6 separate regions of the Mus musculus genome follow, and all the other regions are reported to be linked to region 5. Evidence: microRNA targets listed by miRTarBase, many of them from high-throughput screens and not tested one by one. Region 5 holds a microRNA gene; each other region holds the end of a gene's coding sequence.
The links. Region 5 holds the annotated microRNA mmu-miR-425-5p (AAUGACACGAUCACUCCCGUUGA, at 3,221-3,243, opposite strand). A microRNA usually pairs through its seed, bases 2 to 8, with sites in the 3' UTR of a target mRNA and lowers its output. Matches are read on the target gene's strand: a 7mer-m8 pairs with bases 2 to 8, a 7mer-A1 pairs with bases 2 to 7 and ends in A, and an 8mer does both.

Region 1 (5,072 bases), not on the chromosome of region 5:
TGGAGGCATTTCCTCAACTGAAGCTCCTTTCTCTGTGATAACTCCAGCTGTGTCAAGTTGACACAAAACTCGCCAGTACAATTACTATCTTAAAAATGCATACAGTAGCTACCTGATCAGAATGGTGTGACTAAAGGAACTAACCTTTAAGATATCCCTACCTTCAGACCTGACACAGAAGTGTGTGTCATAGCTAGGGCTACTTGTCAGTGTGACTTGGCATTATTGAAGCAGTTAAGAGCTTCCCCGGGAAAGATGGTACAGTATTGGTTTTTACTGAATAAGTTTCATAGTTTCATGTAAAAATTGTCTTTTTTTCAAAGGACCCAAGATGGCGAACCAGCCCAACCCAAAGAAGCCCCACAGAAGCAAGGCTCCCCGCATCAGGAATGGTTTACCAAGTACTTTTCATTCTAAACTGACCTGGGGGTCTGTTTGAAGGAGGACATTAGAAAATCATTTCAACCATCTGAAGGAATAAATTAAAACCACCCAACCAGGTAACTAGCTGGGAGTGACTTACATGCGATGGATAGCTAAAATGAAGTGTGGCACGAACATTTCAGCTTCATTGTGACACCTGCTTATGTAAGAATGCCTATAGTTAAAGATGAAACAAGCCAGTTATTAGGAAGCACCCATAGGAAAATATTAACCTCTGATGACCAAATTACCCATTGTATTCCTAGTGCCTGTAATGTCATACTTCACTTGTGAGATATCAGACTTGTGACTGCCATGGTCTGCTTTAAAAATATTTTTTCCTTGGTCATCTCCACTCAAAGCTATGATTATATATATATGCATATGTACATATGCATATGTATATATAATTCCAAATGCACATCTAACCTCAAAATGAAGAGGAATAAAATAAAAGTTCAATATAAAAGGAAAGCCAATGAGAACAAAACACCAAACCTACCAGGAATGGACTGCAGCACGCTTGGATTGCATGTTTTGACTTCCAAGGTCTGGCACAGGCCACAGACTGCAGAGGGACACCACCTACCTCAAACAGCACTTCACAAGATTAAGCAGCATACTATCAAGTCTGACTTGGAATGCTCGGTGAACAACTGTGCCTCCTGTTACACATCTCAGCTTCGATGCATTATGCTAAGTCTTTGCAAAGGTTTCTAGACTGTCTGTTCTCTGATGCCAACCGTTGTTGGACCTGTTCTTTGCATCTGTGTTATCAGCCTCAGATGTAAGTAAGGCTTTCTTACTGCATGGACTCCCAGGAGAGCAGGGAACTGCCCATGGTGCTGAAGCTGCACTCTGTCTTACCCTTTGACACAACTTTTAGTGGGTAGACTTTTCTTCTCTCTGGTGCTGGCCCAGCAAGTGGCCTATCAACAGATGTCAATTCTATGCATTGTCAAATTTTTGCTCTTTGAATAATAAAACTCTGAACTGGACAATAAAAATGTCTTTGCCTCCACACTACCACCACCTGTCTTATTAATCATTTTCAAATTTTAAAGTCTCTTTTTTTGTTGTTGTTGTTGGTAGTTCTACATATAGAACCCAGGACCTGGAGCATGCTAGGCCAGTGCTCTACTACTGAACTACCTTGCTCATAAGAATACACTTTTTTGTTGGTGTTTGTTTGGAAACAGAATCTCACTATGTCTAGAACTCACTATATAATAAGACCATGACGGCCTCAAACTCAAAGATTTTCCCACTGACCCGAGTGCACGACCATACCCAGCTAGAACCCACATGCTAGCCATGTGTCCTAAAAGATTGGAGCTCATGGGTCTTTCTCCATTTTGAATGCAACCATTTGTCACCGTATTTGGAATGAATGGCACATGACTTTTCAGTGCCAACTTTTTGTCCTTCCTGCATAAGCTGAAGACACTGGAGTGTTGAGGCTGTTACACTAAAACTTTAATGATGGAGAGAGTATACAGACAAAAGAAATGCATTACTGCAGGTAAGAGACCAAGATGAAAGTGGGGAAGCATTCTTCGTAAGTCTCCACTATGGGGCCTCGTGTGCAACAGAGCTGCCTCTTTACAAGGGTACTAATGCCACTCATGAGCAAGCAGCCTTTATTGCTTTATCACCTCCTACCTAACAATTGGGTCCACAAGTGCTTAAAAGTGCATAGCAGTGGTATATAGCACATGGTTAGCATGTGCAAGGTCCTGAATTCAATCACCAGTAAGACTTAAAATAAATGTTTGCATATTTTCAGATTCATGAATCTACACAAGTTATCTTAAACATGGGACCAAAAACTAAACATATTCCCTGACATTTCTATATCCACCTTATTCTTTTCTTGGTACACCTCCATTTTTACTCAATGCATCAAGTATGCAAGTTTCCCCTTTCAGTGTCAGGTCATTGTTGGAAAAGTTTAGATCTGGGAGCATTTGGAGTTTTGGATAGGAAATGCCCACTCTCGTTTGCCATAAGTTCCAATGTTTGTCAATAAGCAGTGAGCACTGGGCGATACAGGTGGTTGTGCCTTTTCTGATCTGGGCATTTCTCAGCATTGTAATTCTTGGTAAGGCACAAGACTGCTTTTCTGCAGCCTTCTGCATTTCCTTGCTGCTGACAAAAAAGAACTCAGAGAAGTTTACTATGGTTCAAGATTTTGGTGGTTCAGTCCACCATGGCTGGGAAGGACAGAGCTGAAGTAGTTGGTCACAGTGTCCAGATGGGAGGCAGAGAGCAAAGAATAATGACGCCTAGCTCATGTTTTATTCAGTATTGGACCCCAGCCCTTGGGATGCTGCTGCCCACATACCTCAACCAACATAAACTTCTTCGAAGACATGCTAAGAGGTCTGTCTCCTAGGTGGGACTAGATCCTGTCAAGTTGATATTAACCAAAGGGGGCCAAGGTCACAGTCACTCATTTCATCCAGCAGGATGTCTGGTGGTTGAATGACCTGGTGACTTGGTTTTGGGCGTATATGTGCCCCAATGAGAATTATAAGTGATTTGTCTCACCTGATCATCGTTTCAGGTGACGATGAGGTTTGGTGTTCTGAGCCTGTTTACCTCAGCAGAGTAACTGGAGCACTGCTGGGTCAGCTTCTGGACACTGGCAGGTGTGTGCTCTCTGTGCAAGGATAGTTCTGCAGTGTAGACTAGGGTGACTGACTGCTCCTGACCACTGTCCACTAGAGGATTCCAGAAACAGACCTGACTGTAGCACCCATGCTACGCAAACTAATACCCAGGACTGGCACAACCAATGGTACTGGAACTGGATAGTCAAGAAGCTAAGTTCATGTATAGAAACTAAGGAAGTGAACGTACCATCTGGTCTGTTGCCAAAGATGATCACAAGCACAATTGCAGGACAGACAAATACAGCTGTGGAGGAAGGAGCAGAGTGGAGACGGAATAAGGAGCTGGAAAAGATCAAGGGAAATGTTTAAGACAGAATTTGGGTGAGGTACAGGGAAGGAGCCAAGGACAGACAGTTGCAAGTGGCAGAAATCACCACAGTGCTTCATCCTAGAGAAGGCGACCGGTCTGGGATCCATGCATATGGAAAGGCTGGTCTTACTCAGGTAGGCAACTGAAACAAGCAGGAAACTTCCTTGAATCCATTAGGTTACACATAGGAGCAGCAAACCAACGGAAACCCCTGAAAGACATGCAGCTTGGAATGTCTGTGTTCAACAGCCAGCAAAGTGCCACTTAGGAGGAGAGAGATGGAGCTGGGGGATGGTTCTGTAAGTAAAGCTCGTGTGTGTAACTGAAGCCCTGAGTTCATGTGGTTGTACCAGGATAAAAAGCCGAGCAGAGTAGCTTAATCCTAGAGCTTGGAAGGAGGAGAGAGGCAGGAAGATCACTGTGGTTTGCCAGCTAGTCTTGTCCAGTAAACAAGGCCAAACTCAGTGAGAAACTGAGTCTCGAAAGGTAATCTGGAAATAGCTACCACCTGGATCTCTAATGTCTAACACACATGGATCTTTGACCTTCACAAAAACACACACATACCCCTCCCCAAACATGTTCACAGATAATACTATACACACACAAACTGACAAAATGGGAAAATTATTTTAACCTAACCGTTGAATTCAATTTAAAATAAACAGTAACTTGTATGTAGACCAACTTAAAAATATTTTCACTAAGCACCAAGAATGATTTCAGTATTTCCACCATCCTCCTCATTATTGACAAACCAGCCAAAATGTAACCAGTTTATTTAGTTTTTAGCCAAGAAATCCAGAAACAGCCAAGCTGTCAATCAGTACTTCAGAAAATGCATGGGTTTTAATTAAGTGTTTTGTTTGGTTGGTTGTTTTGTTTTGGGGTTTTTTTTGACAGAAGTAGAGGGGACGGGGGCAGATCTCTCTCATGTAATCTACAACAGCTTCAAACTTGCTATGTAGCTGAAGACGAGATTACACTTTGAGCTTCCTTCCTCTACCTCCCAAATGCTACCATGCCAGCCTAAATTTTTCAACACTCTGTTTCATTTATATATTCTAATTAAGGGAACCTGATGGCCTTAGACTGGCTTAAATTGTTCCAGGAACTAGATATCATACAGTCAAGCATACACATGAAACTAGTAAGACCTTGCATAATCAAGGAAGTCCCTAACTCTAACAGGCATACAATAGAGCAACTAACATAGTCGCTACTCATAAAGCATATGTAGAATTTAAGGAAGTTGACAAAATTACAAACAAAACCCTGTGCCCTGAGATGAGGCGCAGCAACGGGGCATGCTGAAGCTCCACAGACCAGATGGCAGTGCTCAGACTAGGCCGGCAGTGAGTGGATGGTGATGCTTATGACCTGGGCTAAGGCTCCAGAAACCAAAATGGACAAAGCCAAGCTGGAGATGCACTGACTATTCAAGAGGTATGGAGTATTTGTTTTGGGTAAAGAGAGGTGCTTGGCCTTGAAGGGGGGGGGGGGGGGACGACAAACAAACAAAAAACAAGCAAATAAAACTCAGAGACAAATAGACAATCCAAGCAGGCTTGTGACCTCATACCTCACCCGAGCCTTCCCTGGGACTCCATTCCTTACCCTGACCAGCACAGCACAGCCCAAGAGCACTCAGCATGCCATAGTCC
Region 2 (5,072 bases), not on the chromosome of region 5:
GTTGTTCTAGGTCAGGACGGTGGAATCCTTACAAACACGCCTCAGAACAGATGTCCCCTGTCGCCACAGTTTCCACGTCAGTGCCTTCATTAGTTACTTTTCTCATTATTGTGGCCAGGAACCTAACAGAGAGAGGGGCAGGGTTTATTTGAGCTCATCGTTTGAGGTTTTGGTAAGGGCAGCATGGCAGCTGTGCTTTCAGCGATAGAGCAGAGAAAGAGGAACGCCGGTCCTTAGCTCACACAGCTCCCCACTTGGCTCAGCAGCCAGCTAGCTTCCCCTCGGCCCACACTTCTCTGAGGGTACCCCGCTCACTCACCCAGTCTGTGAAGGCTTGAGTTCGCCTCTGTCTTTCCCAGCACCGAGGCCCAGCATTGGCTCACAGGGAGTGAATAGAATAGAAGTGCTTCATAGACCCTCTCAAGCATGGCGTGCAAGAGGCAGCACTCCCAGAGCCCTGGCCTTGACAGCTTTCTCTTCTCTTCCAGAGCCAATACAAGTTTGTGTGTGAAGCGATCCTTCGAGTGTACGAAGAAGGCTTAGTCCAGAGGCTGGATCCCAGTTAGGACAACTGTGAAGTGGTCGTTCCTCCTTCCCTAGGGCGACTTCCTGAAGAAGGGGGCACACATTCCCCTGGAGGCCCCCCCAGAGATGCTGGTCACTGTGGGAAAGGGATGAGCTTATCTGAACCCAGGCACTTTAAATTTCTGTGGAAAAGATACCCTGTACATAAGGACTGATGGTGTAGATATGCATGCAGCTATGACTCCTTTGGCCCAGAGAGAAGCAACAGGGGATCTCCAGTTGGGAACTGTGTTTCTCCCTACATATCACCGTCCCCTGTCATCCATCCTTGAGCAATGAGAGGGGACACCAGCAGTGTCCTCCCGCCAGAAGCCAGACAATGTGGCTACTTGTGGTTGCTCAGGTGTTTTGTGTGTTGTTCTGTGTGGGATTCCAAGGGCTGAACTTCCTTGGCAATTCCTGTCCATTACCCCTGACACCAAGGGAAACTCGGATGAATGTACCACAGGCAGGGCACAAGGGACTTCAGGCTGGAGGATGAACAGGATCTATTCTGCCCGCCCTCCCTCCCTCCCTCCCTCCCTCCGCCTCATCTCTACCCCTTCTGCAATCCAAAGCACCCCATTTCCCCCACCCCAAATTCCTTTTCTTCAGGATCACGCCCAGTGCCTGAACCAGCTTCATGATGTATGTTCAGGTGAATTCTCTGCCGAGACTGGGAACTAGGCTCTGCATAAGGCTGAGTCTCAGCTTCGGAAGCAGGCGAGCCTCTGCTCACTCCTTGTATACTCGGACGCCATGACTGGATTCGCCGACTACTGAATCTCTGGATTGCTGCTACTTCAAGCTCTCACACTTGAAACAAGACAATTTTCTTGGGGGGTGGGGGATGATAGCATCCAAATATTCAGAATTTTGGACCCTTCTTAGAAATGACCTTCTAGTAAGTGACCATGAGAAACACTGCTTCTCAATCAAGGGTGGTGTGTGTGTGTGTGTCCGTCTGTCATTGTGTCTCTGTGTGTATGTGTGTGTCTGTGGGTGGCTGACTTTCTCAGGATTCCTAACTTGATTCAAATTACTGTTGAGTTTATGTAAAGAATTCATCTCTGTACAGAAGAACAAGTGTGTTGTTCATTCACCCTAGGTTACAATGGTCTCCATTTCATTTCAGAGGAGAGAATCAGACTAACTGAATATAAACACAATTTGATGTTAATTTATTCTAAGTACTCTGGGATTTTGATTGTCCTAAAGAATTCTGCTCTGTGAATACCATGTTATTTTTTTTTTTTAATTTGTGGCAGGATTGTAGCGAATTACTATTTAAGGAAAATAAATTACATGAATGCTCTAAGGTGGTATTTTTAAATAGCTGTTTTTATGTATCGAAAAGAAAGTCAGCAAGTTTCTTAATGGTATTATAGGAAAAGGATACTTTGATGTTATAATGTATGTAGATGAAGCTACATAGATACTTAGCAGATACTGGACCAATTAAAGCATTTCCTAGTTGCAAGATGGGTAAGGACCTGTACAAAGGACCTCAGGTTTTTGAAGGTTCTTTATCTGCAGGCTCAGTTTATCTGTCTACTTCCCTCCCCCCTGTCTTTTACCCACAAACATCTTAGTAGTGCTCAATGATGTGAGTGAGAAAGGCACTGCTCAGTGCCCTGTATACTGAGAAAGTGGAATTTGGTTCTGTACTGCTCAACACCAGGTAGCCCTCATAGGAACCTGGGATCGATCTGTGCCTCTCTTTCCGTCTGTGTGAAATAATGAAAAACAACACTTGGAATTTGAGGACAGAATTAGATCACACTATGGAAACTAATTTCCAGCTTCTGGAATACATAAACCAATGCCACTGAAGAACTAGGAAGGCTGGCTTCTTTTGTTGGCCCCAAGCATATCAGACAAGTGGAACCCACCAGGTTTTCATAGAGCAGTGTTGTAGAGGGAAAAGCACAGAGCACCGATACCTTTATTCAAGCTGGGTTCTGAGAACGCTCTCAGTAAAGCCCCAAGAAGAGGAGGAGGAGAGAGTACTGGGTGCATTTCAGTGGCACTAGGCTGTTTAACAGACGACCGTTGTTTGATAGCAATGTTTATCACTGCCCTGTGTGCAAAGCACTTGCAGAATCTAAATGTCCTTGGAGACTGTTTTATTATTTTTCTGAAAACACGTTGAGTGTGGTCACGAAAATGCTGCTGTTACACTTATGTAATATTCTGTGAAGCTTGAAAAAGCTGCAGCTGGCCTCTCTCTGCCATTGTATGGGGCCAGCACTTCAGACACAGTGGTAGTTGCCAGAAACAGAGTCCGTGGGATCTTGAGAAGGACATGAAAATGACCCCAAAGAGTAGAGTGCCCAAGTGAACTGGGTCAATATTACCAATTTAAAAAACCAAAGTTCTGAGCTCTTGTTTTCCTGCATCTCCCATATCCACAGTTGCTTTTGAGAAGCTATGTTTCATCCTAAGAATTGCATCAGACTCAGGGTAAATATTTTGCCTGGGAAATTTGGCTGGTTGTGAATGGGGAAGATATTTATATCCTACATTCCAGCACCTTCCCAAAGAACAGATTAGACACCCCAGTGTACTTCCTTCATCCGGTGGGTTCCCTGCTGGTACCACTCTCCAGAATCCATACATGGTGTGTTGATTTTCCAGAGAGAACAATTAAGTGAAGTTTGTTGAGGGGTAGGGGGCAGGATGGATGGCTCTCAAACGTGTAGCGGTACTTTTAGTTTCCTCCCGGGGTCCCATGGGACTTAAATATGTTCTGATGCTTGTGTAGATTCTCTTATTGCTGTGTTCATGGTTGGCCCTCTCCCCCTCCCCTCTGCACGCCTTTATCCTTAAAAATTACCATTTGGGGGGGGTGCAGTAAATTGCCTCTTCATCCTCCCAAGGCAACAAAGAGGAGGCATCAGGGAAAAATGGGTGAGACTTAGTCCAGACCCCGGCTTTGCCCTCAGCCAGTTTGTTTATGTTGGAAAGCACTGGTGACTGGTGGGACTAGATGAACTCACAGTTAGATTTCAGGGAAACAAAATTTAACCTTAACCAAGTCTGAAGGGCTGACACAGAGAAACACCCGGTCTGTGACTTGTCCCCAAGGGGTTGGTTGTCTCAGTCCTTATCACTGTGGAATTACAAAGATAAATATTACCACCCTCCTGGTTCTTACCTGTCATCCTAGAGTAGACCTAGAAAAGACAGCCAAGTTCCTTGTGACCTCAGCCTGAGCAATCAAACCTCGAAGACTGATGATAGCTAACGTCGATTTCTTGATAGCTCTCGTACCACCGGAGCAACCACAGGATTGTGTGCTAAGCCATATTTTGTAAAGTTATCTTTAGTCGATCAGCAATATGTTTTCCTGTAAATTTGGAATGTTTTCTCATCCTGACTTGTTGTCGGAACTCTACTGAAAAACAACCTGATCAATATAAAAGCGTTCAAGCTATGCAACACTGTTCTTGTCTGTCAACATTTTTATTTGTGTGTCTGGTTTGTACCCCGCCTCCTATCAACTCGATGCTGTCCGCCCACCTCACCCTCCCTCTGGTTGATTTCTCGTGCAGTGTTTGGCCTTAGCACTCACTTTGGGGGACCAGTTTTAGATCAGAATTGGATTCTACTGTGAAGGCAGTAGTTTGCACAAAGCCCTATCCTTCATCCTACGCGGTTGCTGAGTGACTCAGTGATCAACAGGGTTCCAGGTCCTCAGAATGCAGCTCCTACCTTGACTTCCAGACACATTCAGGTGCTTGATAGCATAGCAGGAAGGGGAAGAGAAAAGCAAGACCTGTGTCCTTAGTCCCAGGGCCATATCTTATTCAAGGGGGTAGTTTTTATGCCAAGAAACCATATGCTGGGGCTAGGGAATGTAAGCTCCGTTGCTAGGGTGCTTGCAGAGCATGCGCGAAGCCCTGGGTCAGACCAGGAAGTCAAAACAGAAGGATCCGGAGGTCAGTGTCTCTACATTACAAGTTCAAGGGCAGCTGAGACTACCTGCCAGGAGGCCCTGGTGAGATGGCTCAGTGAGTACTGTACTGGCACTTGCTGTTGAGCCTGAGGCCTCAAGCCCAGACCAAATGTTAGAATCTCAATGCTCAGGAGGCAGGGGTAAACAAATCTATGAATTCAACGCCAACCTGGTCTACATGGTAAATTCAAAAAAAAGAAGAAGAAGGTGGGGGGTGGGGGAGGACAGTATGCATAACTAAATTTCACATGATCTCATTCTGAGAAAGAATTTGAGGAACAATGAGCCCTTTGGCCCCATGTAGTCTCTTCTTCTCATGAGAACAACATAAACTAAATGTCATCATGCCATATTGCTAAAAGAAAATTACTTAGTGATTTTTTTTTCAGGCTTCTTTTGATGTGTGTGGATTTCTTTTTCCAAGACACGGTTTCTCTGTGTACCAGTCCTGGCTGTCTTGGGACTTGCTTAATAGACTAGGTTGGCCTCAGATTCACAGAGATCCATGTACCTCTGCTTCTCGAGTGCTGGGATTAAAGGCGGTATGTGT
Region 3 (5,072 bases), not on the chromosome of region 5:
AACCATCTGCTGACACCAAAATCCTTTTACGCAGCAGGGATGCTCATAAATAGAACCTGTCAGCACCTGTATATACCTGTTACTGAGACAGACCTTGTTCAGTTCAACACTAAGGCAAAATTGGGAAGAAAATGGCGACATTGATCTTGTTTCTAAACCTTCCAAGTTCAGTGAAGCTGCTGTCCGTTCTCTCTCCTTCCCTCCTGTCGGGTCCAGCACCACTTAGGAAACTACTGTCTAGTGGTTTTTAGACTTGAAAGCATGCCTAGAGTCGGGGGTCACTAGTGTCGGGGGTAAAGGTGATTGAAAATGCATTGCTTGAGCTCTGGGGGCAGGAGAGGAGGAGCCCCATTACAGCTCCTTGAAAGAGTGGGATGACCCAGGCACTCACACCTAGATCATGCAGTCCTGTCCTCAACATTGACCACTTCATTTCTCGCCGTCTCTGCTGACTGCCTTCTCCATATTTCTGTCTTCCTCAGAGTTTCCGGATGATGTAAATCCAGTTACCAAAGAAAAAGGTGGACCCAAGGGCCCGGAGCCTACACGATATGGAGACTGGGAACGGAAGGGACGCTGCATTGACTTTTAAGTCACGCACTCTCACAACTGCAGAATCATTACCTGAACTGTTTACTTCAAGTTGTTTTCTTTTTCTGTGTCCTTTAAGTGTGTAATTTCCATCGTATGTCCTAAAATGCATGTGACAGCTTTGAATAGCAAATGCTGCTATAGATGAGGAATGTGGAAACGCTTCCATTAGCATCTTAACCTCACCTTAAGTGTGTCAGGGCAGAGTCTGGGATGAGAGCATCAAGTCTTTGCCACGATCTTTTTGTCATTTATTTAATCAGTTGCTTATAAAATACATGTGTAAATAAAGACCTCTTGAAATTTTTCTTTAGATTTATTATTTTATTTTTATAAGTATGAGTGAGTTTTTTTCTGTATGTAAGTATGTGCTTGGAGCCCATGAAGGCCAGAAGAAAGCATTATACCCCCCTGGAACTGGAGTTGTGGGTGGTTGTGAGCCACCCTGGTTGCTGGGAACTGAACCCAGGACCTCTGCAAGAGCAATAGATGTCAAGACCTCTGTGCCATCTCTTCCCCTCCTCCCCACCCCCAAGAGCTGGTACTGTTATTTTAGACTATGTTTACATAGGTATGTCTGTGTGTACATACACGTGAGTGCAGTTGCCCTCACAGGCCAGAAGAGGGTGGCAGATTTTTCTGGGGCTGGGGTTCTGGGCTGGTGTGAGCCTCCTGTCCTGGGTTGCCACGAACCAAGCTCAGGTCTTCCGTAAAGCTGTTCTCTCTCTTAACCACAGAGCTGTCTCCCCAGCCCCAGTAAAGTGGCTTTTACACAATCATTTCTAAGACTAGGTGTGCTGGTTAGTTTGAGTCACGTTTCTGTAGGCTAGAGTCATCTTGGAAGAGGGAACCTCAGTTAATATAATGCTTCTATCAGACTGGCCTGTAGGCAAGTCTGTAGAGCGGTTTCCTGACTAATGACCGATGTGGGAGGCCTAGCCTGCTGTGGGCAGTGCCACCATTGGTTAGCTGGTCCTGGATTGTATACAAACGCACGTTGAATTAGCCACAGGGAGCAAGCCACTAAACGGCTTTCCTCTGTTTCAGGTCCTGCCTCGAGGAACTGCCCTTACTGCCTCGATTTCCCTTTGTGATGGACTTTTACATCTGTGTAATCTGTGAGATGGAATAAACCCTTCCCTCCTGCCAAGTGGCTTCTAGTACATGTTTTATTAAAGCAACAGGAACCAAATTGGGACACTCAAAGAATTGTGTATACATGTGCTGTGTGTACGTGTGTACATGCATGTGTGCATGTATGTGGGCCTAAGCACAGAGGTCAGAGGAGAGCTGTGGAGGTTAGTTCTCTCCTTCAGCATAGGTTCCAAGGATGGAGCACTAAGGACCTCAAGCTCATGCAGTCAGCTTTTCCCCAGTAAGTCACCTCCCAGGCCTCATAGTGACTTTAAGTGTAGGTTAAACAATACAGTAGAGTTCATGAAGGCCACAGTAATGAGACAGACTACTTCATTTGAAGCCAAATGAGCTAAATCCAGTCCTGCCCCCACTCCTTGCTGTCTATGTAATCCTGAACATGTTACTCAATGTCTTTGTACATCTGTATCCTTTTGTGTAAATGGGAGATGATAGTAGTTGGCAGGACACTTGAGTAGATTAAATAAATGAATCTGTCTTAGTTAGGGTTTTACTGCTGTGAACAGACACCATGACCAAGGCAAGTCTTATAAAAACAACATTTAATTGAGCTTACAGGCTCAGAGGTTCAGTCCATTATCATCAAGGTGGGAGCATGGCAGCATCCAGGCAGGCATGGCACAGGCAGAGCTGAGAGTTCTATGTCTTCATCCAAAGGCAGCTAGTGGAAGACTGACTTCCAGGCAACTAGGGTGAGGATCTTAAGCCCACACCCACAGTGACACACCTACTCCAACCAGGTCACACCTATTCCAACAAGGCCACACCTCCAAATGGTGCCACTCCCTGGTCCAAGAATATCCAAACCATCACAGAATCCATTCATATTACAGTTCCTGAGAGAAAACCACGGGGGAGAGGGGTGTGTTTGTGTGCGTGCACAAAGACAGAGAAGTTATGAAGAACTACAGGAGCAGGTTCATTCTCCACTGTGTAGATTCCTGGGATGGAACTCAGGTCGTCAGACTTTTAGCAGCAAGCACCTTTAGCCACTGAGCCACCTCACCCTGAGGCAGAGTTTGGGGAAAGCCTGGACAGTATAGTAAGAACCTATCCCCTTCCAAGCAAACAAGAATCCCTTTCTGAGGCACCCTTGTAGATGTCCACAGACAGTTTCAGCGTGCACGCCATTCACAGCAGAGCAAAAGGCATGGCTTTCCTTGCGTTCACTATTCTGAACCCTGAATGGATTTTTCCAGATCACTAGGCCTTCCTGTGGGAATGATCAAGAAAAGCGAAATTCGAAATATATGAACTAAATTACTTTGATATATTCACATGAAAGAATCATTAGTTTAAAACAGTGATAATTTGGGTGGGCAGAATGAAATGTGTATTGGTAAGACAGCAAGTTAGAAAAGCAGGGGGAGAAGTTTCTGTTGAGTTCATCTTGATAACTCGACAGCTCCTATCCCATCGATACCTGGGCCAGACCCACTACACACCTCAGGCATCTTTTCTGTGGCGCTGAGGCTAGGCCTGCAGCCCCCTGGCTATGCTTAGAAAGAAAGGGTGTGCAGAGCTGATAAACACTGCGGACAGACAGACAGACAGACAGACAGACTGACAGTGCAGTGGGCTGATCATTAAATGATGTCAACTGTAAGTGCGGTTTGATAGAGGCGTTGCTGAAATCATTGAAGACGATAAACTTTTTAAAGTTTTAAATGTATTTTATTGTATGTGTATGAGTATTTTGCTTGCATGTATGTATGCACACCATATGCATGCCCGGTGCCTGAGGAGGTCAGAAAGGGGCACTTCATTCCCTGGAACTGGAATTATAGATGGCTGTGAGCTGCCAGGTGGGTGCTGAGAATCAAACCCAGGTCCCCTGCAAGACCAACAGGTGCTGTGAACGTCTGAGCCAACTCTCTGGCCAATGGAAGATCATTATTAAACTAACTGTGACCAGAGGCTAATTTTTGTGTTAATTAAACTCGATTTGCTTTTGTCACCTATGAGCCAACGTTAGTTCCTTTCTTTAAAAAAGGTATTTCTATTTCATGTGTGTTGCTGTTACCTGCATGTGTCTGGGAGCCCCGTGTGCATGCAGTGGCCTTGGAGACCAGAAGAGGTGGCAGAGGTCCAGATACCGGAGGTCCAAATGCTTGTGAGCCACGGGCAACATTTGTTCTCTTTCTTGTTGTTTCTGCTAAGTAAAAATATTTTGAAAATATCCTGTAATTTAGTCAACCAAATTAGTGAACATTTATTAAATTAACATTTTGAAAAATACTATGTTAAATTAGTTTTGAATTATTAGTTGAATTGACCATAAGAAATCAAAACTGTGCTGGTCTAGACTACTTAGCACAACATGTGAGAAAAGAGTTTATATACTTCAATAACGTGTATAATATACAGTAAATGAGAGTCATTCCATTTATCCCAGGAGGCATTTTCTCAGTTGAGGCTCCCTCCTCTCAGACAGCTCTAGCTTATGTGAGGTTTACATAAAACTAGTCAGTACAGTGGGCATTCATCCTTTTTTCTCTCCTGGCTCCTAACTGGATCCAGTGTGACCAGCTGCGCTGTGCTTCTGTGGCTGTGGTTTCCACCATGATGAACTGTGAAACCATACGTCTAAATAAACCCATCCTCCCTTACATTGCTTTTATCGATATCTTACCACCTTAGTAGGAAGAGTGACAAATACACAGGGCTATTCATGTAGCCCCTCCCACTTCTACCCTCATTAGGCTATGTCACTGACTGCCCAGAATTTTATTTGAACTGTGCTCCTGTCCAAGGCTCTGTGTATCCAGTCTTCCGTGCCTTCACTCTCATTCATTGATATCAGACCAACCTGCTATAGGAGGTATGAAGGTCCTCATGTTCAAAGATAAGCACAAGGGGACCTGAAGTGTTTCCCAAAAGGCTGTCCCTTCAAGGGAAGGAATTCTTTTTTTTTTTTTTTTTTTTTTTGCTTTTCTTGTTTGTTTATTTCCTAATTAGTTTTCAAAGTTAGGATATAGGTTTAATAAATATACTTAAAATTTATTAGCATGCGGTAATTATACACTGTGACCTTCATCCTGACATCTTCATTCATGGATACAATGTAGCTTGATCTTTATCCTCTCTGCCATCTATTGTCCTACCAAGCTCACAGGTGCCTTCCATCATCTCTATTCCTACTTTCTCTGCTTTCCTTTTATTTTTTTAATATATTTTTTATTACATATTTTCCTCAATTACATTTCCAATGCTATCCCAAAAGTCCCCCATACCTTCTCCCCCACTCCCCTACCCACCCATTCCCACTTTTTGGCCCTGGCATTACCCTGTACTGAGGCATATAAAGTTTGCGTGTCCAATGGGCC
Region 4 (5,072 bases), not on the chromosome of region 5:
GGTATTTGTTGTGTGTCTCAGGCCAGCCTTGGATTTATGGCAGTCCTCCTGCCTCTGCTTCTTGCCTGCTAGGATTAAATGTGTGAACGATCATACTCTAATACACTGGCACTTTTGAAGGTTGGAAGATAGCAGGATGTTACATGGGCCTGTTTCAGTTGTTCCCATAGTAACCTGTAGCCTTATGCCATATGATATGCGGCCCACCTGGCATCTTTGTGATGCTCCAGCCAGCTATGGGCTCTCCAGCATCAAGCTTCTGGCTTCTCTAAGTTCCTGAGGAAACCTGACACTCACCTGCCTGTCCCTTTAGGGCATTCTCATCCTGCAACAGAGACAGAACTTTCTCCTTCTTGTTCAGATTAAATGTGGGGGCTGATCACTGCTTAGCTGTCTCAGGGATTTAATTTTCCTTTTAGATTAAAGATGAACCAAGACCCTGGAATTAATACAACCAACCAAGCATAGACACAGACTGCTGCTATTGCTCTGTTGCCTTGGGCTGGCAAGTTGGCTCAGTGGGTAGAGGCACCTACTGCAAAGCCTGAAGACCTGAGTTCTGTCTGTCCCAGGGCCCCACATGGTGGAAGGAGAGAACCAGTTCCCACAGGTTGCCCTCTGATCTCCACATGTGCATTATAACACAAATGTGTGCACACAAAACGAACAAATGTAATAAAGAGCTAACTAAATGAAAAGAAAATTTTAATCCATTACCCGGTTTTGTTTCAGGACAAAGATGTTGCCCGACTCCAGGACTTCCAGGAGCTGGAACTGGTTCTGATGATAAGTGACAATAATTTTCTGTTTAGAAACGCTGCATCCACACTGACTGAGAGGCCTTGCTATAACCGGAGAGCTTCAAAACTGACGTACTGATGCAGCAGGGACTTCATCACTGAGTACTGTGACAGTATGTGTCATCTCTGGGCCAAAGGACAAGCCATTGATCCCAAAGCCTCGTATGCCCACCAGGGCCCCTGGTGCCACTGCGTAGTGTTCACTAACACCCCGCCTCACCAGGCAGGAGCCCCGACCCCCCAGCAGCGGTGCCACTCTTCCAAGCCTCTTGGTGCACAATAAACTATTGCTGAATCTTTGAACAGCTGGAAAGTAGTCTTGAGAGGCAGAAGCCGAAGGTTCGAGAGCCAGTGTTTAATGTGCAGGATCTAGAGAGTTGTCAAAGCAGAAGCTGAGAGCGCAGACCTATTTCTAGCCACTCCTGTTGACAGTGCGCCTGAAGGGCCGGGCGTGCCTCTCTTGGTGTTGCATGCTCGTGACACTCAAGAAATTTTGAACTGATGAGGGAGGAAGACTGGGGAAAGAAAGAAAGCACACACAGGTACTGGACAGAGGGATTCTGGTATGACCTGTGGCTGTGAGGTCTCATATAGCATATTTATAAATGTTACTCAGGTTTAAAGTATTTAAAATATAGTTACCTAATTGTAAATAGGCTGTTAACCAAAAGAGCTTCCCCTCCCCCAGTTTTCTTTTATGACCACTGATGACTGCGGCTGTCTCGACAGTCATCTTCACATCTGCTCCCCTCCACAGTCACTAGAGGGCTCTCTAATGCTTTCTAAAGGAGCCACCACCTGCTCCGTGGCCACTCCTGTCACCCTGTCTAATTGCACCATTCAAGAAGAGCACAGGCGCTGTTGGACAAGGCGCCCACCACTCTCACTCCCTCCAGGAACAAAGAGCAGCTTTTGAGCCCGGACTTGTTGCTGGTTTAAAGGTTATTGTGGGAAACTGAACTAAAGGAGTTAGCATCTTTATTTTTGTATCAAAGATAAAGGTTATTTTGAAAATTATTAGGGTTTTTACATAACTCTGGAATCTGTTGCTTTTATAAACAAATTGTTCAATTTTAGGAATTCCCCGTTACCTCCACAGTCAGTTGTGAGGGCCTGATTAGACTCTGGAGCATGGTGTACGACTCTTCTCCAAGAGCGCATGCAAGAGTCTCCCCCCCTCAGCCTCATTAAAGACGAAAAGCCACCTCGGTTTGCTTAACTTTAGATAGATAGGACCTGGCGCACACAAGAGCAGGAGAACAGGGCTGGAGCAGCTGTTGACGGGACCCCTGCTGTCTTAAGCTTTTCCCCATAGTGCCTATAGTTTCCAAAGAAACTTAACTTCCTGGGTATTAACTTAATTTTATTAGAACACTGCAGTTGACTGAAAACATGCAGATGCACTGGAAGAGAACCTTGTGCTGAGGTAATGGCCTCCCACTGCCGCCTGAGTGCTGAAATGAGCTTGAGGTGTTCTTCAAAGCCAGTGTCACTGTGTGGGTCACTGTGAGGTGACTGCATGGTGCCTGGCCCTGGCACAGCTGGTGACTTCCCTTGTAGAGTGTTTGCGTAGTGGAGTGGCTGTGGCTCACCACCCCCTTTCCCAAGTGCTTTAATGAAGACACCTCCCTTGTGTTTCAACCAATCAGAAACTACTTTAACTAAATGTACTAACCTTTTTCCCTCCTAATTTGCTTTGAAAAAGTTTAGTAATTCAATTAAGCGTGATTCTATCTTAGAAGAAATAAACTCAGTATTAATTCATGTCTAAATCACTGGGGTTGAGACTCCTTCAGCCTCCCTGGTTGATTAGAGATTCTGAGAAGCAGTAGAGCTGGCTGGGAGGTGGGCTACAGAGGAGCAAGCAAGCACTTCAGACTGACCAAAGGTTGTGGTGGCCCACATGGCTCTGCCCAGTGTCCTGTGCTTTGCCACAGTCCTCTGGGGTCAGTGTCTCGGGCAGTGGGATGGAACTGTGTGATTGCTCTTAGGTGAGTTCCGAGTCTTAATCTATGCATTCAGAGAAATATTTTTATATGCGTTGTGTAATTTATAACAAGGGGTTTTCTTTTAGGCTTTGTTAACTGAATGCTCCTCTCCTCCTCCACTGCATAGTTAAAGCATGTGTTCACACTGTGTAAACATTCACAGAAGACTTTTCCTCGTGTGTTGTTGACTCTTTAAACATAACAGGTATTATTAAAATTAACTGTTAACTGACCCAGCCCATTCTCTCTCGTTTTGCCCTCGTTTTGCCACTGTATTCTAATCATAGAGGGTTCAAATTGCTGTGAAGTCCCATGGGGCTGGCGCTGTGGAGGAAAAAGAGGACCAGATCCCCAGCCGAGTGTCTGCCACCCCACTGTTGCCTGCCTCTGCCCTGTCACGAGTGTCACTGTCTCACCCCGTGGGTCGTGTCTGGAGATGGATTCTGTGTGATGTCTTCCCTCCCAGTCACTTGGTTTCCCTGGAGTCGCTGAGCAGCTAGATAGAGGTCATCCCCTATTAACCACAGTTTTTGATTATCCTATTTACTTGACACAACCGAGCCTCCCCTTTGGGCTGTCGGCACCTGTCATGGCCTCAGTGAGTTCAGAAGCGAACTCCCAAGACAGGAGAGGAGGCACAGCCCGCCACCTTCAGATCTCTAGCAGGGAAGGACGCTGAATGAATCTCCTGTTTGGTTTAGGCCTCCCAGCACCTCACAAAGCAGACGTCATGCCAAATTGGCCTAATAAATCAGCACAGCAGAGACCTTTTCTTAGCACCAGGGAGAGGCAGAATAATTTGGGCATTTGTGCTCTCATACTTGCTCTATCAGAAGGATGGAAGTCGCCTTCCATACACTCATAAACATCCTGGGCAGAAATAGCCTGCCCAAAAAAAAAAAAAAAAAAAAAAAAAAAAAGTGATTAACCTTTAACAAATGGTCCTGCAGCATAGGCCAACCCGGGGCATATAGAAAAAGCAGATCAAAGGCGCCATCTCCTTGGTGACTGCCAAGCACTTAGGGTGGGGAAAGAAAACCAGCCACCACCCGCACGCTGTCAGTCACTTCTCACCGACAGTAAGGGTACAATTGAGGGTGAGCTCGAAGGCTGAGGAGGTGACAGGGAGGTTCCTTTCAAGTGCAGTCCTGGGACCAGATGGACTGTGCAGAAAAGTCTTTTGTTGGCTTGTTCAAAATGGCTCCAGGGCCTGGGGAGGCAGGGACCTAGGACACTTTTAGCCTTCCTGTTCACCCAGCTTGACCAGAGGAGAAGGAAAGACCAGTGGCCTCCCTGGTGAACAGGCATCTTAGGGAGCCAGGAAGGGAGAGTCACATCCACTTATTCCCCTGGTGAGCAGGGCTTGGAAGACTGAGGAATGACAATGGGCTCAAAAGTGTGCTCCGCAGCTCTTCCAAGAACCCCGGCCTCACTCAGGTCAAGTCCCAGGGCCTTTATTTCTTACCTTTCCTCAGCCTCTGCTCAGCAGAGTGGGAGGTACTGTCATTTTGCTGTGAGTTTTCGCTATGAAGATGGTATTTATAGCCACAGGTTTTGGGTCTGAAGCTTTCAGATAACAGCAGCCACACAGAAGTGTAGGATGGCCTTGGCCTGCCCTGGTTCTTCGTGAAGGTTCTAACCCCCGGACTTTGCAAACAGGCAGAAGAAGGTAACATGTGACCCACATGCTGTTGACTACAGCTTTATTTCATCAGTGGACTCAGACAGCACCAGTACAGGGTCTCTGTTCCCGGGACAGACTGACCTAGCAGTCCCTGGTCCAGGAGGAGAAAGGCTCATTTAAAAAAAAAAAATTGGAAAATATGCATATGTAGAGGCAGGAGCAAGGTCTCTTAAAAACTGCAGTACAGGAATCATGGTGGACTAGACCAGGAGACCCAGGCACTGGTCAGAGCGTGGCTTTGAACTGGCTGTGATCTCTAACTCATTTCCTCATTCCACTGTGAGACAATTTGCAGAATTAAAAAAAACTCTAAATGTCCCCACTCATGGCCATCGAGTCCATCTGACAAGGAAGAAACCCTTGGAATGCATCATCTAGGCAAGTCCCGCATCCTTGGCCATCCCATAGAAGATGCCTCCGGCCGCAATGAGGTTGACTGGAGAATCAAATTCAGCTACTACTCCTTTGTCCAAGACCAGGACCCTAGCCAGAAAAAGAAAAAGTAGTTAAGCCTCCCAGTCCTGGAGGCCTGCCCTGCCCTTTGAGTGCTGCCTCAGACTCTGCAGTGACATGGCAGCCCACCTATTTCAGTCAACCTCC
Region 5 (5,072 bases):
CGAAGAGTGTGGCAAGGCGGGCACAGTTATACATGACAAAAGTCCCGCTCTTTGTGCCCTTTGTTGAGATGGTGCTGTGGGCCAGGAGGAGCTGGGGAATGGTAACATAGCTGCAGAGGGCCTTGGCTCTGTACCTGCATCCTCCGTCCTGGTGTCGGGAGGCTTACCTGGCTCTGTGGGGCTGTGCTTAGCATCTCAAATTTGATGGTAGCCACGGAGAGGATGTCGAAGGTCTCAGTCCAGGCGGGGTCTGGGGTGCGAGAGAGGCTGGTCAGTGTCTGAAGACGAAGCACACAGGCCAGAGGTGTGCGTGACCTGCTTCCACCTCAGCGCACACGCAGGATCTCCCAGGTGTACCTTGTGCCAGGTCTCCTCCGTGCTTCAGAGCTGAGGCCTCGCACACCTGAGCATGTCTGAGCCTAGAAAAGCGAGCCAGTAAGCAAGGTCTCAGTGAAAGCTGTCCCTACCTTTACGCTGTTGGTGGCTGTGGATGGCATCCCTTTCATACTCACCTGTAGTACTGAGGGGCAGTCAGCTGGGTGCCGGGTACACCAGCCATTTTCACGGGACCACACACCAGGTGTTTCTGTGAAAGACTGGAAGGGCTCAGCCCAGTTGGCACTACCCTCCCCGCTTCAGGGAACTATATCAGTTGCTTTTCTACCTTGGTTTTCCCAATCTGTAACCACCAGCCTTCCTTCGTACCTCCTCAAGACACCATCATCCTTTTTCTTAAGACTACATAGTCACAGGACATTTGCACTTGTAGCACGGGTGCCTATGGTCACATCAGTCTCTAAACCCCATGGTATTCCAGGCCTGAGGTCGGAGGTGGTTTGGTTAACTTTGGTAACCAACCTGCTTGTGAGGAGCCCGGTCATCCAATTTCTGCCAGAGCAAATCCAGCTTTTGTTGCTGGAATGCCTCTTCACAGCTAACCACGTGTATAACCACGCAGTCATCTACACCAGCATCTGGACGCCCAGCCTGAGGAGAGATGGGGCAGTTACTACAAAGATACAAAAATCCAGTTTGGGCAGAGGTCAAGGCAGCCACTCACCGGGCCTGGGTGGCCGCCCTCTGGCCAGTGGCGCACAGCCTCCTGCAGCTCCGAGAGCACAGAGAGCACATCTTCAGTCACTACAGAAAACAAGAGGTGTTGAAGTGCCTGGCAGTGCAGAGACACAACCCCACCCATGTTCTGCCGTTTGTCCTACCCAAACAGTGGTCTATGCTGGGGTCATAGCCAGCAGTGCCTCTCTGTTCTACCAGTTCCTTCAGACACAGTCGGCCTAGGACGCCAGGGGGCAGCGTCGCTTCCTTAGAACCATTAAGGTTTGCAAGAACACAGGTTCTCAGTGTTTCGGTCGAGGTGCTCTTCGAGGCAGTGGGCCATTCCACCCGAAGTTTCTGGAGGAAAGTTGACATGTGAGGGTCCCGCACCGGGGGCACTGAGCACACACGTACCCTGCAAAGCAAGGGAGGCTGTCTCAGCCTGCGGACCAGGCTTAGATTATCATGACTCCCACCTTTTCTATCCCCAAATGTTCGGTCTTTTGCCATTATAGCTTCGAACACGCACTTACCCATGAGCACGCAGTACCCGTACTAGATGATCGGCTACGAGCACGGCACGCAGCTGGCTCAATCGGAGCGTCCCCGAATTACAGCGCAGTGCTGGGCAGTGTAGGACAACTCGCGGGCCTGGTGAGGCAGGTTTGGCGGGAGTAGCATAGGAGGCCAGGGCACCGAGTACATGTTCGAAGACAGCGGGCCGCTGTAGTTGGAGCGATAAACCCGCGGGTGTCGGCGCGCAGCGCAGTACAGGGGCCACTCCGGGACCCTGCAGGCAGGAGACCGCACGGAACACGCACTCTGGCACCTGCAGGCAGATGTGTGTAAGTGGGCCGTAGTTCCGTGGATCCCGCTAGGCATGCCCCACAGGAGCGCACCCACCTGGCCGTCCCTGAAGCGCGCCTGTAGCGCGCTTCGCGGTGCCAAGAAGTCTCGAACACGAAGGTGCCGGGCATGGGTTTCCTTAAACCACACTGGGCTACCAGGCCCTACAGCTGCATTAAGGGCCTCCAGCGTCTCGCCAACCCCAAGGCGCCCGGTCGCCATGGCGACCGGAAGACTAAATGGAACAGGAAGTAAGTTATCCGTAGAGCTTCCGGGAGGTCCGCCTGGCGGGGGCGGGGATCCGGCCGTGGACTCTCCTGAATGGACCAGAGCGATCGAGCATGCCAAGTGAGCTTACATTCTACCCACGCCTCCAGCTCTCCCTCCCGATGGCCTTTCCTGTATTCATGAGCCCTAACCTCCAAATTTGAGGGTCCATTTTTCCTCCTTTTTAAAAAAATCGTCACCCCGAATTATTACTTTGATAACGGATCTTTGTTACCAGGCAAGACACTTTGCCACCAAAGTTTCACATCTTTGTGTTTATGTCTCTTTTTTCTTTTTCTGCCCCATTTAAACAAATTAAAGGCCAGACGCACGAGACGAAATGTCAAAGGAATAAGGCTGTACCATTAATGACACTTTGTTTTTCAAGACAGGGTTTCACTGTGTAGCCATGGCTGTCCTGGAACTCTTTGTAGACCAGAAAGTCCTTGAACTCAGAAATCCACCTGCCTCTGCCTCCTGAGTACTGGGATTAAAGGTGTGTGCCACCACTCGTGTCTTCCATTAAAGACTCTTTACCGCCTACTTGGAAAAGTAACGAAACAAAGCAAAATTTGAGTTCTGATTATTGGTACGCCTTTCCTCGGCTGCGGTATGGAATGTCTTTATTCCCAGTAAAAGCCCAATCGGATAGAATTGCCCATCTTGATACCCGAGGAATTAGTCATCATGATTCCAGGATTACCAGCCTTTAATGTTTTTCCTTTAAACTGGTGTTACCGGCACCTTTGGTTCTTTAGGCAACTGGTCAGTTTAAGACAAATGTGATGATGAGAAGACCCAAATAAGCAGAGCTCTCAGGTAGAGCAAGCTGCAGGTGAGCTTTTCTATGTCCAAACTCTTTCGTTTCCAAGTAACGTGAAACTCCACTTCCCCCAGTAATGAATGAATCCAACCGGTGAACTTTGCTCCGGAGAGGAGTGACATCTAGAGATAGGAAAAGTTCGGGAAGGCCGGGGCTATGAGGCCCTGTTTGGGAGGTGCCGAAAGAGCACTGGGCGGACACGACATTCCCGATGGCTTCTTGGGTGCCCACTCAACGGGAGTGATCGTGTCATTCCAAAGCACTTTCCATGCTGTGGTGTGGGTTCAGCTGCTAGCAGGGCTGGGACCCACCAGCAAGTTGGTGATTTTAGCTACTCTCCCTCCATGAAGACGGTTGGGGTGGGTTTTCCCCAGGAAGTGAAGATCTATCTTTAGCGAGCTGCGGGCTGGGCGGCCTTGTGGGACTCACCGCCATTGCGGCCCTTCAGAGAGAGGACCCAGGACCTCCCTGGTCAGAGTTCTCCAGGGATTCCAGACAGGGCCATCAGCCCGAGCTTTTTTCGTCGCCTCTGACTGCCACCATCAGTCTGGGGGTGCACCTGAGAGATGGAGATCAGAATGGCCCAGTAGTGTAGTGTTTCTGAGAATAGAGACCACATTATCTGGGCCAGGGCGCTGCTCAGGCAGGAGAGCAGGGAACGAAATCCAAGTGCAGCTGGAATGCTCTGGAGACAACAGCTGCTTTTGGGATTCCGTTGCCCGCTGTCCAGCCATTGGAGGAGGGCTCTTGCTCCCAGGTCACTCGCCCTGAGGCCAAACCGGAACCCGCCCATCCCTTCCCAGTGGGCTGAGTAGGAAGGAGTAGGTGTTTTAAACCAGTCTAGTGAGAATGAGACGCTCACCTGGGCCCCAGAACAATAGAAGGTGGGGGCATCCCCCGGGACGAGGTCCTGATCCGGATTAGATCAGAAGGGCTGGATTAGCCCTGTGAGTCCCAAGCAGGAGCCACTTGTACCGGGCAGGCTTCGGAATCCGTCAAGAGGGAAGCGATTCCGTGAGACCCGAGAGGAAGTAAACCCATGTGTCCACTTCTGGGACTCCCCAAAGCTTAGGACCTTTTGTCTGGTGACGGTGCCAGCTCATGAAGTGCCAGGGGCCAAACTGGCCCACATAGCAGCGGCAGGACAGCCTCCCCCCAAGCCCATTGCAACCGGCCCTGCAAAGAACCCCACAGCCAAGCCCCATTTGTGTCAAGCATCCCACCCGTCTAGTCCAGCGGATAGAGAACGCGACAAAGTTCCTCTGAGGCCAGGACAGAACCGGTGCGCAGAGATGCCCATGCCGCGGGACGCCAAGGACTCATGCGCCAGTAGGCCCTAGACTCAGCTCAAGACAGGGGGAGGGAGACTCTCGGTACGCGCGCGCAGAGCGCGCAAGGGCGGGGTGGTGCTCCAGGCGCGGTCTACTTCACGTCTGGTCCGGTTTGGCCCAGTCAGTCCCACTCGAACAGCTACTCCAGCACTGCCACGGCGTGCCCTTCCGCTGGCTCTAGCTGTCCCCAGACTTGGAGCCATTTTAAGGAGAAACCATCTGGCCACACCCCCTCGCGCTGCCGGGAAGCCAATCCATGCTCGGCCACGCCTCTCATGGAGCGCTGCGCCGTCGCCAACGGTCGCGCTGGTGACGGTTGGGGAAAGCAGCGATTTCGAGACTAGCTAGGGAAATTTTAGCCATCTGCCCCGCCCCCGGAGCCCGATTCTCCAAAGCCTGGGATTAAGGGCCTGGAGGCTGGCACCACACCCTGGCCAGGTGTTCATAACAGGACCAGGTGCGCAGCTGCCCCGCCCTGGTCCCTGGGAGCCCGAATAATGGCTGAGAATCCCAGGAACAGGCCGCGGCAGTGGCCTAAACAATACCCTTAGGGCGCCCGTACTAGCAGGTGTTTTTCCCCCTCCTCCTTAGGGACTGTCGCTGGAGGCATGGGGCGGGGTGGGCGACAGGTGCTGACACACCCGCATGGGGAGACAGAGGCTCTGCATTGGCCTACTGCGCCGTTCAAGGTGCGCGGTGCCCTCCGGGACGCAAGGGGCGCTGTGGCTACTTTGAGACAGACAACTCTGTCC
Region 6 (5,072 bases), not on the chromosome of region 5:
ATGACAATATTCAGCAGGAAGGGGATAGAGATTACCGCTTTCCTCCTATAGAAACCAGGGAGGGCATTACCAGACCTCCTCAGGTGGATGTTAGGGATGTGGTTGGGCGACGTCTAGATCCCAGAGAAGGCCCTGGAAGGCCTCCATTAGATGCTAGGGATCATTTTGGAAGACCTCCTGTGGACATGAGGGAGAATCTTGTGAGGCCAAGTCTAGACCACCTTGGTCGAAGAGACCACTTTGGCTTTCCCCCAGAGAAGCCTTGGGGGCCTAGAGATTTTGATGAGAGAGAGCATCGAGTTCTGCCTGTCTTTGGTGGTCCAAAAGGCTTACATGAAGAAAGAGGTAGATTTCGGGCTGGAAATTACCGATTTGATCCTAGAAGTGGTCCTTGGAACAGAGGATTTGGTCAAGAAGTTCACAGAGATTTTGATGACCGCAGAAGACCCTGGGAGAGGCAGAGGGATAGGGATGACAGAGATTTTGATTTCTGCAGAGAAATTAATGGAAATCGTCTTGGACGAGATAGAATTCAAAACACTTGGGTTCCCCCTCCTCATGCTCGGGTTTTTGATTATTTCGAAGGGGCCACTTCTCAACGGAAAGGTGATAATGTGCCTCAAGTTAATGGTGAAAATACAGAGAGACATGCTCAGCCACCGCCTTTACCAGTACAGAAGGACCCTGAACTCTATGAGAAACTGGCGTCTTCAGGTGACGTAGACAAGGAGGAGAGCGGCACAGTTGCTGGTGTAGAGAGTGAAGCGGTGGTAGAAAGCACAGAGACTGAGGGGACATAACATCACTCAGTAGGTAAAAGAAACCTTTTGTACAGTTGTCATCTCTGTAAGAGGTTAATGGCTGACTGCACCACACTTGTTCATGTTTATCTACCAGAACTAAGTTAATCTGATGTTCATGTTCACCTTTCTCTTAAAATAATTGTACAACTGACTTGTATAGACATTGTTCTTAATATGAACATGGTAGGTAAACACTTTTTTTTTCTGATAACGTATAAATGTTGCCCCAGATTCTTTTAACGTCAAGGAGATGCTAACGGCTTGTCGGAGACTTCCTATGGAAGAGAAGGTTTTAGACGCTGTCATTGGGTTGGGTATGGCAATGACATATTTCAGAACAGCAAGGTGTGGCCCATTTCCTCCATAACTCTAGGCTGCTGCAGGATTTTAAGGAGACAGACAAAGCTATGACATTTTATGCAAGGACTGGCTCTAGATTCTTGAGGAGCATAATACAGAGATTTTAAAAAGTGATTTTGTAAAAATCTCCACGATGGTCTCTGTTACTCCAAAGTAAGTGTGTGTGATTTGTTCCTCATACTGCAATAAGTAAAAAGAAAAAAGCAAACAACATAAACATTCAAAGACGTTTCAATGTTGGGTGAATTTTGTTTTTAGATGCCAATAAAACTTACTTGTTTGATAACAGTGTTCTAGGAATTGTATTTTTTTAACCTACAAATTCTTAAAACTGAACTGTTAGTAGTATGTACTTAGCTGTTGAAGTTTCTCATTACCCTTTAACAACAATGAATAGTTGTGTGCTGAGAAAAGCCTGTATTTGATATAAAAACCATGCAGTCTGAACAATATGTATGTAGTATCTATGTATACTTATTGTATAAGCCATGTAGTTTTTCCTTCTCTGCATGTCTGTCTCTGCTCATACAGAGAAAAAGAATGTCTTTAAAAGTTTAATATTCTTTAAAGCTTGATAGAAAATTGGGAACACTGGGTAAATTAACATTCCTCATGTTTATAGCATTTTTTTAATCTTGATAAGTGTGAAGTAAGAAATTAGAAGTATATTGCCTGAGAGACAGTTTTTTGGTGCTTTAATATGGCTAAACACAGAGCCAGATGTGGCACCTAGTCAGATTTCACATTAAGTGATGACAATTTCTCACACTATCTGCTGTTCTTGTAGATGAGACTGTCATTAAGGAGCTTAGTTCACGTGCATGCCATCAGTTTCTTAATTGCATAGAATGTATATTGGCATTGATGGCATAAGTCAGGAATAAAGCTTCCATCATGTGTTTTGTAGTCTCTGAGTAACACTGTTTAGACAAGGCTCTAAGGTAAAGGAGGAGAAATGTTTGGGGTTGGCTTCCTATTTGCTTTTGCTCTTAAGTTTCATTTCTTTGCTGGTTTTGTTTTTTTTTTTTTGCATTTTCCACATTCTGCATATACATGATAAAAGGCCATCAGTAGTTTCTAGTTTCCAGTGGAGGTTTCCCATGATTCTGTGAGCACTCAGTTCCTTTCTTTTGCGTTTTCAGCCGTGCATCCTTTGCTCTGTCTAGAATCTCTAAGCTGTGACAGAGTACACGAGGCATTTAAAGTAAGACTTGTTTGTGTGCTCCTCTGGTGATGCTCTAGACAGCTATGAGATTTGTAGCCAAAAGAAAGAGTCTTTTCTCACACAGCCTGAACCTGTGAATTCAGACAGTAGGGCATAATCTATTTGGTTGATTGGGTAAGGCAGGTAAGAGAAGAAGTGCTTGAATATTTACTTCCAAAGCAACTCAGTTAATAGTTTGATTTGATGCTAGGTCTTTCCCTTAGGATAAAAAGTCAAAATTGCAACCTTGGGGCAGAGTAAATATTCAGGGAAGACTGGCTTTGGCCTTTAGGAAATGGTAGTGAATACAGTTCCTCACAAGTACTTTAGTTCCATTTTTCTCTGATCAGAATTTATGGACATTTAGTCAAGTTAAGTAGCAATATAAACAAGCTTACTTGTTAGTGGTCTGTTTTTAATTCTAAGCTTTTGGCCTTCCGTGGGTACTTGAGAAGGGTTGCACTTGCACTAGTTTGAAGGTTCTAGAAAGTGCAAGTTAGCCCAGCATTGGCAGAACCGTGTCACCTTGTGCATGTTTGGGGACACTTTTCCTTTCAGACAAAAGCGATTACTCTTTGCTTGCCCCCCTTGTCCTTGTTTGTCATTATAACAGTAAGGAAGGACTTGCTCACCCTCAGTCATAACCATTCCAGATGAGTCTGGCTTAGGATCTGCCGCAGTCCGTAGGCCTGCTGCCAATTGGAAACACATGTGAGGAGCGGCCCAGCCACTGAGTGCACTGCTTTGTGGTTTTTTGGGCAGTACTGTATGGTACACTGAATCACACCGTGGGGATCATCAAGCCCTGGGCCAGTTTTATGCTGGGCGTTCTCCCACTGAGCTACACCCAACAGCCCTACGTGGTTTCAGTGTGTGCCACGGCAGAGTGATGCCACACTCTGCAGTGTAGCAGACTGAACTGCTTAACTGTACAAATTTCATGAAGCATGGTCTCTGTTCTTAGCATTAGTGTATGTACTGCAGTTGGTAATTTCTCCCATGTCTGGAAACATGCAACAAAGCCATATTGATAAGCAGCGCTCATTTAATGTTGCTGTATAGGAGGAGGTACTAATCAGAAGTGAATGGAAGGTCCAAGTAGTGTAAGTGGCCCATTCAGAGCACAAGGTAATTTCACTAACACTTTATTCTTATCAGAGTACTTCCTCTCATCTGGGAATTTTGCTGCTTTATTAAATTTATCTTCACTCCTATGAAAAATTATACTTTGATAGAGACTGGGAGCATTATTGTTAAAGTTACTTTAAAAAATACTTTTTAATTAATTTTTCAATATATTGCTCACTGCCCCCCTCTCGGTCATTCCCTCCCATAATCCTTACCCCTTCCCTACTCCCCTTCTCCTCTGAATTGGTGGAACACTACCCCACCCCACCCCAGCCTCCCCCACCCTGGCACTTCAAGTTGCTGCAAGACTAAGCGCTTTCTCTTCCCACTGAGCCAGACAAGGCAGCCCAGCTAGAAGAACATATCCCAGGAACAGACACCAGCTTTTGGGATAGCCCCTGATCCAGTGGTTCAAGGGCCCACATGACGATCACCTAGTACATATGCACAGAGAGGCCTAGGTCCAGTCTGTTTAGGTTCTTTGACTGGTGGTTTATTCTCTGATAACCCCCAAGGGTTCAGGTTAGTTGACTCGGTTGGTCTTCCTGTGGAGTTCTATCTCCTTAGGGGCCTGCAATCCTTCCTCCTCTTCTTCCATGAGTCCCCAAGCTCCATCCACTCTTTGGCTGTGGGTGTCTGCATCTGTCTAGGTAGAGCCTCTCAGAGAATTACGTGCCCTGTCTACAATCATAACAGAGTATCATTAATAGTGCCAGGGATTGGTGCTTGTCCATGGGATGGGTCTCTAGTTGAGTTCGTTATTGGTTGGCTATTCCCTCAGTCTCTGCTTCATCCCTTGTGCCTGCATTTGTTGTAGACAGGATATATTTGGGGTTGAAAGTTTTGTGGGTGGGTTGGTGTTTCTATCACTCCCCTGGGGTTCTTGCCTGGCCACAGGAGGCAGCCTCTTCAGGCTTCATGTCCCCAGTGCTGTGAGTCACTGCCAAGGACACCCCATTGATTCTTGGGCACCTCCTCTATCCCAGGTCTCTGTGTCCTCCTGGAACAACCCCCCCCCCCCATCAGTTGCAGATTTCCATTAATTCTCATGGCCATTCAGCAATCCCCCTACCTCTCCCCACACCTGATTCTGAACCCCACCAACACTCCCCTCCCAATCTCCTCTTCCACCCAGTTCCCTCCCTCCATCTTCCTCTTAAGACTATTTTATTCCCCCTTCCAAGTGAGACTTGAGCATCCTTGCTTGTGCCCTCCTTTCTCTCCAGCCTCCTTGGATCTGTGGAGCGTAGCATGGGTATCCTGTATTTTATGGCTAATATCCACTTATAAGTGGAATACATATATATGGTGCATGCCCTTTTGTGACTGGATTACCCCACACAGGATGATATTCTCAAGATCCATCTATCTCATCGAGTCTTTGTTTTTCATAAATAGTATTCCATTGTATATATGTACTAAAAAAAACTTAAAAATAGTGAATCTCATTGGATAAAATGCTGTTAATTGCAAGCAATACTACTCAGAAATGGGAAATGTTTCCAGTAAAATATACAATGACTGTAAAATAATTCCTAACTCAGAACAGAATCAAAGAAAAAGGGAACATACAAAGT

Region 1: miRTarBase lists Fam184b as a target of mmu-miR-425-5p. Seed matches in the 3' UTR shown: 7mer-A1 at 699-705.
Region 2: miRTarBase lists Ptpn3 as a target of mmu-miR-425-5p. The part of its 3' UTR that is shown has no 7-base or 8-base seed match.
Region 3: miRTarBase lists Sdhaf4 as a target of mmu-miR-425-5p. The part of its 3' UTR that is shown has no 7-base or 8-base seed match.
Region 4: miRTarBase lists Ankrd40 as a target of mmu-miR-425-5p. Seed matches in the 3' UTR shown: 7mer-m8 at 918-924.
Region 6: the mRNA of Scaf8 is a reported target of mmu-miR-425-5p. The part of its 3' UTR that is shown has no 7-base or 8-base seed match.

Annotation. Positions count from the first base shown.
Region 1 is chr5:45,526,082-45,531,153 of GRCm38, reverse strand. Fam184b (family with sequence similarity 184, member B) reads left to right here. Exons shown (of 16, transcript NM_021416.3): 16 at 324-1,449. The coding sequence ends at 417. It overlaps Med28 (mediator complex subunit 28), which reads right to left. Exons shown (of 4, transcript NM_025895.4): 4 at 1,870-5,072. Among named protein-coding and RNA genes, the nearest start is that of Med28, 8.4 kb to the right of the region's middle.
Region 2 is chr4:57,189,779-57,194,850 of GRCm38, reverse strand. It overlaps Ptpn3 (protein tyrosine phosphatase, non-receptor type 3), which reads left to right. Exons shown (of 26, transcript NM_001384115.1): 26 at 489-4,005. The coding sequence ends at 566. Among named protein-coding and RNA genes, the nearest start is that of Gm12530, 20 kb to the right of the region's middle.
Region 3 is chr1:23,991,771-23,996,842 of GRCm38, reverse strand. Sdhaf4 (succinate dehydrogenase complex assembly factor 4) reads left to right here. Exons shown (of 3, transcript NM_026503.3): 3 at 483-904. The coding sequence ends at 592. It overlaps Gm53062 (a long non-coding RNA gene), which reads right to left. Exons shown (of 5, transcript XR_865295.2): 4 at 3,770-3,901. Among named protein-coding and RNA genes, the nearest start is that of Sdhaf4, 11 kb to the left of the region's middle.
Region 4 is chr11:94,338,821-94,343,892 of GRCm38, forward strand. It overlaps Ankrd40 (ankyrin repeat domain 40), which reads left to right. Exons shown (of 5, transcript NM_027799.2): 5 at 733-3,027. The coding sequence ends at 879. Abcc3 (ATP-binding cassette, sub-family C (CFTR/MRP), member 3) reads right to left here. Exons shown (of 31, transcript NM_001363187.1): 31 at 4,475-4,955. The coding sequence ends at 4,847. Among named protein-coding and RNA genes, the nearest start is that of Gm51871, 11 kb to the right of the region's middle.
Region 5 is chr9:108,566,960-108,572,031 of GRCm38, reverse strand. It overlaps Mir425 (microRNA 425), which reads right to left and starts at 3,255; the gene lies at 3,171-3,255. It overlaps Ndufaf3 (NADH:ubiquinone oxidoreductase complex assembly factor 3), which reads left to right and starts at 4,596. Exons shown (of 5, transcript NM_023247.2): 1 at 4,596-5,072. Dalrd3 (DALR anticodon binding domain containing 3) reads right to left here and starts at 2,140. Exons shown (of 12, transcript NM_026378.3): 1 at 1,957-2,140; 2 at 1,587-1,882; 3 at 1,218-1,468; 4 at 1,061-1,140; 5 at 859-987; 6 at 513-586; 7 at 358-419; 8 at 168-250; 9 at 1-91. The coding sequence starts at 2,121. Mir191 (microRNA 191) reads right to left here and starts at 3,713; the gene lies at 3,640-3,713.
Region 6 is chr17:3,197,411-3,202,482 of GRCm38, forward strand. It overlaps Scaf8 (SR-related CTD-associated factor 8), which reads left to right. Exons shown (of 20, transcript NM_134123.3): 20 at 1-1,449. The coding sequence ends at 800. Among named protein-coding and RNA genes, the nearest start is that of Gm34035, 83 kb to the right of the region's middle.